Medicago truncatula: one gene and its partner. Each later gene encodes a partner of the first gene's protein in a complex. Links are inferred from orthologs where the notes say so. Each region holds a gene or a part of one and is shown on either strand. Other genes may lie near its edges.

Region 1 (7,248 bases):
TAGGTAAAACTAAAATGACATATGAATGATTTCACTCACATTTTCTATTACGTAAGTTTTAAAATTTCCGCAACATTAGACTAAAGATTGCTTTGTGTAACTAGATATTTCTTCTCGGAGCTGTCGCTAAGCTTGGAGCTACAGTTGTAACCTATCCTCTTCTTGTTGTAAAGGTATATCATGCATTCATGCCATTTTTTGCGTTGTGTTTGTTAATATACTCCATTGTCAATAGTCGATATGTTTCATTTCTTAATTACATTGTGCTGGCATATCATTATTCTTAAGAACAAAAGGAGGAAGGAACTGACAAAATTAAACCAGGAAAGTGCATCCAAAATATTGTTCTGAATCTGTTTTGTTGATTTTGTTGCTATCGCAGGCAAGGCTTCAAGCTAGACAAGTTAACAATGGAGACAAGAGACACAATTATAAAGGTTTAAGTTGCGACAATCTTTTCTTATTATACCGTGAATACGGTTCATAATCCAATAGCTGCGTGTTTTATATGTACTTTCGATCTGGTTTTCCAAATGCGAGGTCATGAGCCCTGCTTTGCTTGAGTTAGATTATGATTATTGCTCTTGACTCTTGTTTAACATTGTTATAAATGCTTCTGCTATTGCTTCCCTGTCAATATGCATATTGGCCAAGTCAGCATAAGGAAATACTATGTGGCATGGCATCCATGTTTATTTGCTCTTAATAATTTGAACGGTGTTAGGTAGTATGAAGCACTAGCATGGACACCGGACACAGCAGAAGGGATTGTATGTAATTATTAGTGTCAGTGTCGTGTCGGTGCCCAGGACACTCGGACATGCCTTTAATCTCAAGTGTCAGTGCGACATATAGTTTCAATGAAGACTATAGTGATAATAACATTATAGAACTCATGTGTAGACTAGATCAAAATTATAGTGATTTAGGGACAAAAAAAGATGTTTTTACTCCTTATATTCTTTGATTACACTCTGAAGCAGTATGTTCTTCAAATTCAGGTACACAGGATGCTATTATTAAGATGATACGCTATGAAGGGTTTAATGGATTTTACAAAGGTATGGGAACCAAAATTGTACAAAGTGTTCTTGCTGCAGCTGTTTTGTTTATGGTGAAAGAAAAACTAGTTGAGCAGACTCGTTCCTTGCTTGCGAAGAATGTTCCCAACACTTTAAAGCCAAAAGTTGTGTGATTTGGCAAATCAAGTATTTTAGTTTCCCTCAGATTCAATGATTCACGAACCATCTTTATTTAGCATATTCAATTTAATCATAGGAAATAGACTGTGCCATTGAAAAATTTGTTACTTCATGAATAGGAGATTAAAATACGGCTTTAAAGTTTAAATATGATTATTATTCAAGACATGCTTCCAAATGGAAATTTGTGTTTAAACTTACATGCTAAGTCACTTGTATGTCATTTATAATATTTGCTTTCTCACTTTTGATGTAAAATTCTATGTTCAATAAATGGAAGTTGTAGTATTTTTTTCTGGCATCAAATTGTATATTCTATCATGTCCATCAAACCGACCCTAATATAGTCGAATGGTCAGCTAGTACTCACATATTGTTTGGTTCCAAATTATCTTGCTAGTGGATGATAAAGAAGTAACCATGCACCTCCACAATAGCAAGAATACTTATGATATGTTTGGATTGAGGGTTTTGGATAGAACATGAGGGGGAAACTTACGATTCTCTTCTAAATCACGGATGCTAACATATTTTCTCGAATCAATTAAATGTGATTGAAGTATTATATGATAACTTTCATGTTATTCTTTGAATTTTTTAAAGGTCGAATTAGTTTTCACTTTTCTCATAGTACTATATATTTTTGCCCTGCTAGGGACTCAAAGTGGTCATATATGGCCAACACCCTATTGAATAGGTTGAACAGACAAGTGAGAACTGAAAGCTTCTATTAGGTTATATTTGACTATAAAAAAAAGGAGTTAAATGCAATATTAACAAGTGTTTTGTTTTCTTTTTGAAGAAGATTAACGTGTTTTATTTATAAATAAAAAAAAAACCTCCAGCTATTTAATACAGTGATAAAAAAGTATGGATTTTATTTAATTGGGTAAAAAAAACTTATTATGGATTTTATTAAAGGGTCCTGCTAACCGGTGCCCCCGGGGCATTGGTTAAGCATACCATAAAAGAGAATTATTACCATAAAGAAAACTGTTTTTGACTTTATTATAAATTAATTACACAATTTCAATGTATTAACTACTATATAATTTCCTTTTTCATATCCTTAACCAGTGTCCCGGGGGCACCGGTTAGCATTTCCCTTTATTAAATTATGTGAGAAGGCGGACGATGCTTCAATATGTAGTGAATGCTCTTAAATCTTTTTAACTGTGTTAAACATTTTTATTTTTACTACTTATTTATGTTTTTTTTAAAACAAAACTCTTTTATGTTTTTAACATAGTTAATATATTTCTACCAAAAAAAAACATAGTTGATATATCTTTTGAAGCATTTCCAAACTTTTACATGATGAAATGCTTCATTATTTTATTAATCAAATAGTATTCCCTTCCCAATAAAAGTTTTTTTCTTTGAAAAAAACCTTTTAGGAAAAGTCAAATCTATATAAAAGTTTTACATATTTTGACTGACTGATTGTATTTTGGAGTGGTCTTTTTAGTATATCTTGTGCTAAAGAGGTTCCACTATCGTAGTAATATATTCCATTTTTAATTCTTAAAAAAAATAAAAAAGGATTTTCACAAGCAATTATTTTGTGAAAATATTTGTTTTTTTCCTCGCGTTTTAATAAAACATTATCATAAAAAAGTTAAATATTACATTTTCTTTTCAAAGGAAGTTAATAACGAAATTACACTTTTCGAAAGAAACAAATAACTTTGTAAATAAAAAAAACAAATAACGAAATTATACACAAGAGTTATGAAAATTTGCAGATTATAATTTGAACTCTAACATATCTAATATCTTTGCAAACTTTTTTTTTAGCAAGTCTTTGCGAGCTTTTAACATTTGTAAAGATTAATAAAACATTCACTGCCAAAAAAAAGATTAATAGTAAAACATTGTTTCAAAACTTTTATATGCTATCATAGGGGACAAACACGATTACACATTCGTGTAAAGTTAATTTACACCGGTTTCTCTAAAAAATTACCTGCGGGAAGTGCTTTTGTGGCTTTTGAATTGGAGTTTTACTCGAATGACAGAAGAACTAAATATCAAGCTAGTGTCATACCTCAAAATTTAGTACTATTTTAAATGTTTGTAGATTTTTTATTTTTTTCTTTATCAAAGTTCGGTAAAGTTTTATTGGAACACAAACTAATAAACTAATAAAGTTGTTCTTTTGTTAACCAGAGTGACATTGTCTATTTGTCTTTATCATAGCACATATTTTTATATTTTAACATGTATTATAACTATTTGATGAATAAAATGATTTAAGTTTGTGTTTGTCAAAAATAATATGTAAAATTTATTTAAATTGAAGTAGTGATATTTGTACAACGATTTTGTGATAATTTTTATAATCTTCTTTTTTTATCTTATAAAATAGTTGTACAAATATTATGTTACATTATTCGTTATTTTTATTTTCCTAATTCATTTGTGGCATTGATTTTTTTTTTGTGGTGGCCGGAGTTCGAACTCCGAACCTTGCATATTTTATGTATTATCGATAACAACTGAGTTAAGCTTACGAGGATAGTATGACACTGAGTTTTATTTTAATTTTTAATCTCATTCAATTAAAAATAAAAAATAAAATGCAATTCTCTAGTGTCATTTTACATGGGTTGAGTCCATATAGAGTTCTATTATGGTTTTAAATGATGTCATACAAGTTATATTACCAAATTTTAAAAAATTAATAAATAAAAAATGTAATAGATTTTTTATTTTTTAAAGGAAAAAAATTTAGTAGACTTGTAACCAAAAAAATAAGTTTAATAGAATTTTTTTCAGCAAGTTATTATTTTTTTTTGAGGGATTTAGCAAGTTTATTAGAATTAGACTTCCATCCAATCGTATTTTGCCACATAATTTATCCAATCAAATATTAGTATTGATATAATGCAAAAATAATAAAATCTGATTGGACCAAAATCTTACAATGACGTGCATCGTCACTTTCTGATGTAACAATCAATAAAATAAAAACGAAGGTTTTTATTATTCAGTGCGCAAATTCTCAGTTTTATTTCTTCTTCTCATCTGGGTCAAGCGAAGTCTCAGCGAAGAATTCGAAACATGGCAACCAAAGGACAGAAGAAAGCGAATCTGTTAGATCACCATTCAATCAAGCACATTCTCGATGAGTCTGCTTCTGAGGTTCGTTCGTTAAACCCTAATTTTTTTGATCTTGTTGTTTTTTGACGAATTTTGTTGTATTTTTGTTTATTAATTGGGATTGAATTGGTTTGAATTTTGGATTGTAGGTTATAACGGGTCGTGGGTATGTTGAGGATGTGAAATTGAGCAATATTAGGTTGTTGCTTGGGTCTGTTATCATCGTCATTGCTCTCTTTGCTCAGTTTTACAAGAAGAAATTTCCGGAGAATCGCGATTTCCTTCTTGCTTGCATTGCCTTATATCCTTTCCATACTTTTTATTTATTCACTGTGTGTATATGTGTGTGTGTTTAATTTAAAAAATATATATACATGCTTGATGATATTGCCTAGTGAGAGAGAAAAATTGGATTTTTTTGTTTACTGTTGTCAAATAGTGGATATAATGTTGATATAGGGTAGCCGAGTTTTAACAAACCACGTACACAGACACAGACATGGATATATCAGTACTAATTTAAGAAAATGGCATAATTGAATGAGATCACATGTGTCGATGTTGTGTCAGAGTCGGTTACGGTTTTGATCAGATGTGCCGGTGTTACAGAGCAAACCACTATTGATTCACAATATGCAATTTAGAAATTAAAATAAAAAGTGTTGTGAAATAACAATTATAGGAGAACTATATCACTGTAGCCTACTGGAATTTTAACAAACTGCTATTTTCTGTGATTTGTGATTGACGGTACTGTTTTTGTTATGTTTTTTATGGTTTGGATGGGGATAATTTGATAAATAAATATCTAAATTAAGGATTTTTCAAAATGAGAACTCTTTTTTGTATGTAGGAGTGTGTTTTTGTGTGTGTGTGTGTGTTCAAATTGAAAGGAGTGTGTGTTCAAATTAAAAGGAGCGTGTGTATTGGAAATGAAATATCTGCAATTAATTTTTTGAAGTAGAGTGGGATGTGGGAATTGTTTAAATTGAAAGGTGTGTGTGTGTATTGAAAATGAAATGTTTGGAATTAACTTTTTGAAGTAGAGTGTGATGTGGTAGTTGCTTTAATTGAAAGTTGTTGAGGTTTTTGCCTAAATGAATTTGATGATTTATGTGAAAAGGGATATGGGATTGTTTGTGTTTGTAAGTCTACTCATTCTTCTGCTTCATTGTTGTTTGATCCTTGACTCTCGTACGTATGTAGTCTTCAACTTGGTATTGCAGCTGATCATATACACTAAGGAGAAGAATGCCATTCTGTTTACTTATCCTCTGACTGTAAGTTTCTGTGAACTTAGCTAAAGCACATTCCTTTAAATAGCCCCCTGTTTTGTGCACTGATTCAATTGTTGTTTAATCTGACCATTTTAATCCACTTTCAACATATAGAAATAACATTTAAGAATTGTCATATTTCTATAATCTATTGTGTGCCATTTTGTGTCTGTTAGAGAAAGGGATTGAGACAAGAGTATACCTTTTTCTTACTGTTTCAATTAGCATGTTCCTTTTCCTCTTTTGGAGGGACAAATAATGCTAATGTCTGGTTAGTTTATTTAGGACTGTACTATAGTAAGGCATAAAGATACATACAAATACATTTATTTGAAGATGACTGTTTCAGCTCAAGAACCATGATAAACATTAAGCACTCATGTTAAACAGGGCATACACGAAGTTGACAAATAGCTGAAACTAATTGTGGTTTGATAAGCGAGTAATATTTATTTTATATTTAGTTGCATTTAACATTTTATTATGTATGGGCAAATAAATTAATGCTAAGGGACACTCTTTTCAACACTCACTTTCTTATTGGGACTCACATTGGTTGCACCCAATAAGAGAGTGGATGTTAGAGTGAGTGTTGAAAAAAGTGTAGCAATCCTCTGGGTAAATATAATCCGGTAGCACTCTATCATGTTCTCTACATCCTTTTTTTGAATTTCAATTTAAGTTGATAAAAGTTACAGCAGGATAATTTTTCACATCCATGGGTTAAAAACAAGGCTACCAAACTATTTATGCAGATTATGGCATGTCTTTAGGTTGAAAATTTGACCAGGATAGTGCCGCCTTTATCTTTGTTATTCTAAGTTTCATTCATTTTCATATGAAATTTGAGTTGACCTAAACTACTAAAGTTCTTTATGGTTTTGGTTGCTTTGAATCATAATTTGGATGTTGCTTCATTTTTCAATAGTGATTTAAAGAGGGTAAGTCATGACATGTATCAATTAGTGTCACGTGTGATGATGCAAACTGTTCGGTGTAGACTGTAGATATCTCATGTTTTGTCTTTGTAGTGGCTGCTGGTGATAGAATATATTATTTTCATTTATCTAAAAAAGATTTAGGTTCGTCTTTGAACTGTGTTAACAAATCAAGTAATGCTTTTGATTTTATTCTCTCAGCAGAAGTTTCAGACATACATCAGTGTGTTCCAACTTGGCTTTTATTTCTTTTTTACAGGGTTCCTTTACCAGTACCGGTTTGGTAGTTTCCTCCAAATTACCCAGATTTTCTGACATGTACACACTTACCATAGAAAGCGCCGATCCAAAATCGGTTTCTGCAAATGAACCAGTACATCTTACCAAAAGTGTTACCCAGTGGTATTTCTCTTTTTCCCTTCATCTCTTATATAATATCCCTTATATAATCATTCACACAGACACCGGACATGTGAATCAGTAATCACGCGTGCATTGATTTTTTGGTAATCGAAATGCATCAATCTGTCTTTTGTTTGGATTTCAGGTTCACTAAGGATGGAGTCTTGGTCGAGGGCCTCTTCTGGAAGGAAGTTGAAGCTCTAATTGCTCAATATACAAAAGAACCAAAGAAGAGTAAGTGATATGGAGTCATGAACTTAGTTCTGCAAAGAGCTTTTATGAGGATAAACATGTATTTGGATGTGGTTTACATTTCTATACATTTTC
Region 2 (5,932 bases), on another chromosome or scaffold:
TAATTTGTGTCCATTAACAACTGAACAAACATTTGAGACCCTAAAAAAAGAGACAATTTCTATGTTGGAGAGATTTTTTGGTGACATTTGAATTGAATTTTGTTGGAACTAACGGAAGGGTAAAGATGTTAATTCAAATGGAGTGAAACATTGATCCATGTGTATAGTTTTAATAGGAAGCGAGTAAAAATTACGTGTATATGATAAATTTTGTACTTCATTAATTATAAATTTATCCTTCCTAAAACCCCCATTCACTATTTGTTTTTACTGTTTGTAGTTTTATTTATCGCAATGTTTATCACAATTGTATTTTTTTTCTTTCTCAAATTGTTAATAATAAAGTGCAATAAAAAATAAGAAAGTTAAATGGAACTGCTAATGCAAAATTGTTGTAACAGTGATGATTATGAGAATGCTTAGACAAAATGGTTAAAGGACAAACACCATGGGTGTACAATTTGATTATAGAACTGCAACTAAGTGGAACCGATATTATTTAAAGTAGCAAGTTAAGGGTGGAATTGGAGAGTAGATAGTAGAAATAAACAATGCTTTGTAGTCCCACATCGCTGCAAAGAAACATTGCATTCATTAACTTGTTTTAAATAACTGTCAATAACACTGTTTCATATGTAGGCTTGTTAGAATCTCCTCTCAAAACTGTGTTTTAGTTTTTAAAAATTAAAAATAGTTTTTGAAAAGAGAATCAAACATGTTACTGTCTGTTTGTGTTATGTGTATTCTGCCACCTCTTGTAGCGCATACCATGGTGATAGTGCTGGCTAGCACTATTTTCATGGTAACATCCGAGTTCAAAATTCTTTCCGGTATCAACGTTGGTCCACCATAATCATGTTTCTCTTTTTTGTTTCCAAACAATGATCATCATTCCTCACATATGCCGGAGGTGTGATTCAAAGCATCCAAAGCGAATGTAACTATAAAGATGAAATCCATTAAAAAGTAGTTTTATTATTCTTTTTTGAATCTGAAGCCTTAGGTCCATAAGTCTATTGTTATGGTGATTTGATTTTTATATTAATAATGCAGATTTGCTTTCTTAGCTATCAATCTTCTTGCGAATCTGATCGTTAATTTGTGCTTGAGCAAAGTGAATATCAACAAGAATTTAGCTTGGTAAGGACCATCAGAATTATGTTTGTTTATAAGTAATGGTACTTTCTCATGTATTTCACATCACTTGAGGGCTGATCAGCTGGTGCTAACTTCAAATGCATCACAATTACACCTTTAATATATCTTCTAATCCATTTTGTTGTTTGCTAATTAGATTGTCGACATTAATTCATAATTTACCATCCCAATGTGTAAGATATGTAAGGTCTTGTTGTAGTTAAATATCTTATATTTTCCTTTAAACCTATGAAATTAGTTGCATTGACAAGGTTACCCCCACCTTTTGTAAGCTTTAATCTTTGTAAGATTGGTTTACAAGTTTTCATTTTAGAATTCTTCAGACATTTGTTTAACCTCAGTGGCCAATAAGTAAGATATCAGATCCATGTATTTCAAATTGTGTCGTAACATTCTCCTTGAATTCAGCTAATAATTTGGAGATGTTGCCATTGAAGATTAAGTCATGCCTATAAACACGCTAACAATATTTCAATGCTTGTTGTTTTTGACATTTAAGTGTTGGATTCAAGTGTGAGTGGTTAATATCAGGTCGACTATCAATGAACTAAATGTTGAATATATAAGGGATGTGGCTTATTTACCTAATAAAATAAGGTTTTGATTAATGATATGATATCTAAATCTCTTAAGGGTCTTTGACGTTCAACTTTTGATTTTTTTATTTCTTTTCTTCTGTTGGCTCAACAAAATATTCATCTAAAATGGATCCATAGCCACTAGATTTTTATCATAGTACCGTTCCGACATAGCAAAGTTGTTCTCCATCAGACTTGTAAAACATTGATTGCACTTTATGAAATTGAACTTGATGTCATCTTGATTGAACCTGGATCTTGATACTAGGTTTGGCAATTTAAACAGAATACTGAACTCCCAAACATGATTTTAATTTAGCAGCACAAAAGCTTTGCATATGGAACTGCAAGTAATATTATTACAAGTGAGTGGCAAGTGAGGTGTGAGGAGTAGAAAGAAAGTAAAAAGTGTTTTTAGTCCCACATTGCCACCAAAGGAATTAACATATGTGAACTTGTTCTACATTAACATCACATGTGAACTGAAACTTTAACAAAGTGAATATGCATGAGGCATTTTATTGTTGTCCCAATGTCACTGTTTCTGTACATCGCTGACATGTCAATTTTGTGTTGTTGGCGGGGGTGCAGTTTCATTGGCATTGTTTGTGATGACAAAAATTTAGTTTAAAATACACTTTGATTGAAGGAATGAATTAATTGCTTTTTTTTTCTTCTTTTCAATTAAGGTATTAAGTTCCTATTTCGTAAATTTGAAGATGAACTTAACGCTTACTTTAAGGGCTAATTAAAATGTCTATTCACTTGATCTAGATTTGGTTTAAGCACTTTAATCATATGTTTTGAATTTAAAGTCTATGAGCACATTGTGGTTGTTGGGACCATATTGCAGCCGCAGTTGTGGCACATCAGCACATTTGTTAGCTATTTTCGGCAATTTCAATACAACTAGAACCATTACAATTTTTTAAAACCATAAGTACTATCTTATGGTCTGCTTGGATTGAATTGTCTAAATTTCAAACAAGTGTTAATCTCTGAACCATTTGTAACCATAACATGGGAAGGTATGTGCAGTTCGCGACTGAATATTGCATACAAGAGTTATTAGAAGCTTATGACACAAACAGAGGAAACACAAATGATGGATGGAAAATGGTCACAATGGAGTTTGAGACATCAAAACGCAGGGTAGGTTCATTTCACACTTTTTGAAGCCGGATATTAAAATTTGGAGAAATGATATTGAACGATCATTTTAGAACAACTTTTAGCGGTATATAGTTTTTGTCTCAAAAGAAAAAAAATATTCTAAAATGATTTTAGAAACATCATTTATCTTAAAAGTTAATTATTCATTTTGTGTATATTGCATTGAAATTTAGACCTTGTTTAAGTTCATGGGGGCATTTTTTTAACTTACAAACTTTCTTTGGATTATGAAAAACACCGGGTGAATGTATTATGTTTTTTTTTTGGTTGAAAACTCAATATCCGATTCAATGATCGATTAATTCGAATGGACCAATTCTACCGTCCACTTGCGGAGACCCCGTTCTAAGCCTGTACTGTATGGATTTGCCCGCCGAAATTGACACTATAAGAATCAAACCTGAGACCTTGAGAAAAGCAAGCACACTTCAAAATCTCAAGTCAACCACTAAGCCAACCCCAAATAGATTGTGAATGTATTATGTTAAATGTCTCTTTAAAATCATCATCAAAGAAAACAATTTTAACATTTCTACGAAATATGTTTACCGTGAACAAATGCAATATAAGTAAAAGTGAGAAAAGTGACCATTCTAAAATTAAAAGTATTTTTTTTTTTAATTTTGTTATGATTTTTTTATGATAAAATAAAAAAATGCTTAAAATGAGAACATATTTGAATAACTCATCGTAAAAGTCATTTTTGACATATCTTTTTTGAAAAAATATGTTTTTTTTTTAATTTTTATCTTGTTAAATCTTTAACAATGAATATTTAAGTTACTCAATGTCAAATTTTTTGAGTAATGTAGGATTAAAAACAAACTGCAAACAACCTCATTTAAAATACAAAAAGCTTTAAAACCAACTTCATTCAACAATAATAGATAATATACTTTGAAGAAGTTAAATTAGATCTTGGCGAAGAGCTGAGTGGATTAAAAATGAGTTGTAGATTATAAATGTAAACACAGATAAAATAGCAAATATTTAAAAATAATAATCCATCGGTTATAATTTAGAAACAATTTTTTTTTAGGAAAGATGAAGAGACAATGTATTTTTTATTTTTTTGAGGGAAAGAAACAATTTATATGTTGCAGCAATTTTGCTGCGGAGCCAATTTTTGGAATTACGGAACGGTAAAAACATAAAGACATTACGTGTAATAATCGACGTGTATAATTTTAATTGGCAGAGAGTAAAAACATTACGTATATCTAATGTTAAGTTAGAAAGGGTAAGAAAAGCTGAGATTAAAATTCATAAAGACATTGAATTGAATTCGATCGATCAACACCACCACCTTCTTCCTTCTTCTCCGTTTCTCTCTCATAAGGTATCATCACACTCCGTTTTTACTTTCGTTTTCTTTTCCAATTTTCATTGCATATTCCCTTTTTATACGCTTTCACAACCAGCTTTTAGGTACACACTGATTTTCAATTTTGATATTTTTTTTTATTTTTTTTTAAAAATTTTAATAACATAATATCGCCATAATAGATCTAGTTATAAGCATTTTAAAACTGGACTGACTTATGTCCATAAGCTGTTTTACAGCTTATTTCCATATGCTCTCTCGGATAGTTTGTGAAAATAACTTGTTGTTTATATGAAAACAGTTTGACTTTATTGTGTCTATTGCTATAGAAATAGATAGCTTATACATAAGTACTTATATTATATACGTTTGTGATTTAAGCTGTTTATCAGTAAATGCAATCTTAAGTATTAGATGTAAGGACATCATAAACATGTATAACCCCTTTCACAAATGAAAGAGTTTGGTTTGTTAATTTACTTTTGCTTTCTGAAATTTTTATGTGTATTGATAACATGTATTTGGCTTTCAAAATATGGATGGGGAATGTCTCACCTCGTAACCAATTTGATTGTACCCTCGCTATTTTAGCATTTGAATGAAGTTTTTTTTTACCGTAAAAAAAATGTATAACCCTTTTCATGGCTTTAAATATTCCTTGTGTTTTGTGTTTTTTTTTTTTTTTAAAGTAATGTTTTTGGCATTCATTTCTTAGTGGTTAAGTGTTTTCTCTTGATTGTCTTTGTTGGATTAGATGGATTGGGAAGGTCAAAAGCTAGCAGAGCAACTGATGCAGATACTGCTGCTAGCATTTGCTGTGATTGCGTTTGGAGCTGGATATATCACGGCTTCTTTCCAAACAATGATCCTCATATATGCTGGTGGTGTTATTCTCACCACATTAGTCACTATTCCCAATTGGCCCTTCTTCAACCATCATCCTCTTAAGTGGTTAGACCCGAGCGAAGCAGAAAAGCATCCAAAGCCAGAACCATCTTCGAATGTAGCTGCAAAGAAAAAATCCATTAAAAAGTAGGTTTATTTTTTTGTTGCTTATGTTGGTACTTAGTGATTTAAAGTTTGAAGTTGATGCTTCGAAAGAAATTTGCATTTCCTTCTGCACAATACAATGTACTTAACTTCTTAGAGTACAATTATATAATTGTTTTCTTTTCGACATTGCTTGTCTCGATTGGCATTTACCTTTATGCTTTTTTTTTTCTCTCTTCTTTTCATCTCTTTTAGATATTTGATAATATAATGGGGCAGACTAACATTTGTCTTCTGATTCTTGTTGGTGTTCAAAGTCGGTCCCTAGCATAACTTATTGCTAAATGATTTGAGCTACTCAAAGTACTGCCTTCTCTAACAGTGCTCACTTTTAGTGTAGCACTAGCCCCCTTCGCCCTTCGGTGCTGATTTACTGAATTGGGTTGGCATATATAACTGTTACTGTTTATGGTTTTCAAAGAAATTGGTTTTATATCTTAACCAAGAGGATTCTTGTAGCTTCTGTTACATATACAAATCGAGAAACTTTTCTCGTTTTAGTGCTCACTTTGTAATGTATTCTTCACACTTTGCCATCACTCCTTTTGTATGTTTGGTGGAACCTTTTTGAAAAATGTAGACATGTGGTGTTTTTTGCAAATTACAAAATGAGTCGGTGATATCGATAACTTTAGCGAGGCAGCCTGAA

Evidence for each region.
Region 2: probable signal peptidase complex subunit 2 (region 1) and probable signal peptidase complex subunit 1 share a complex: the UniProt entries of both Arabidopsis thaliana proteins name them as parts of the signal peptidase complex. The link is inferred for Medicago truncatula from reciprocal best matches to the Arabidopsis thaliana genes AT2G39960 and AT2G22425.

What each region holds. Positions count from the first base shown.
Region 1 is NC_053046.1:36,325,938-36,333,185, reverse strand, and holds the start of probable signal peptidase complex subunit 2, read left to right. Parts: upstream 1-4,173; 5' UTR 4,174-4,265; coding exon 4,266-4,346; intron 4,347-4,453; coding exon 4,454-4,605; intron 4,606-5,502; coding exon 5,503-5,584; intron 5,585-6,778; coding exon 6,779-6,921; intron 6,922-7,066; coding exon 7,067-7,163; 3' UTR 7,164-7,248. Other genes in the region: peroxisomal nicotinamide adenine dinucleotide carrier, read left to right, coding at 105-173, 383-437, 1,002-1,195. UniProt on the Arabidopsis thaliana protein: Component of the signal peptidase complex (SPC) which catalyzes the cleavage of N-terminal signal sequences from nascent proteins as they are translocated into the lumen of the endoplasmic reticulum.
Region 2 is NC_053049.1:38,610,113-38,616,044, reverse strand, and holds probable signal peptidase complex subunit 1, read left to right. Parts: upstream 1-4,093; 5' UTR 4,094-4,248; intron 4,249-4,987; coding exon 4,988-5,269; 3' UTR 5,270-5,412; downstream 5,413-5,932. UniProt on the Arabidopsis thaliana protein: Component of the signal peptidase complex (SPC) which catalyzes the cleavage of N-terminal signal sequences from nascent proteins as they are translocated into the lumen of the endoplasmic reticulum. Dispensable for SPC enzymatic activity.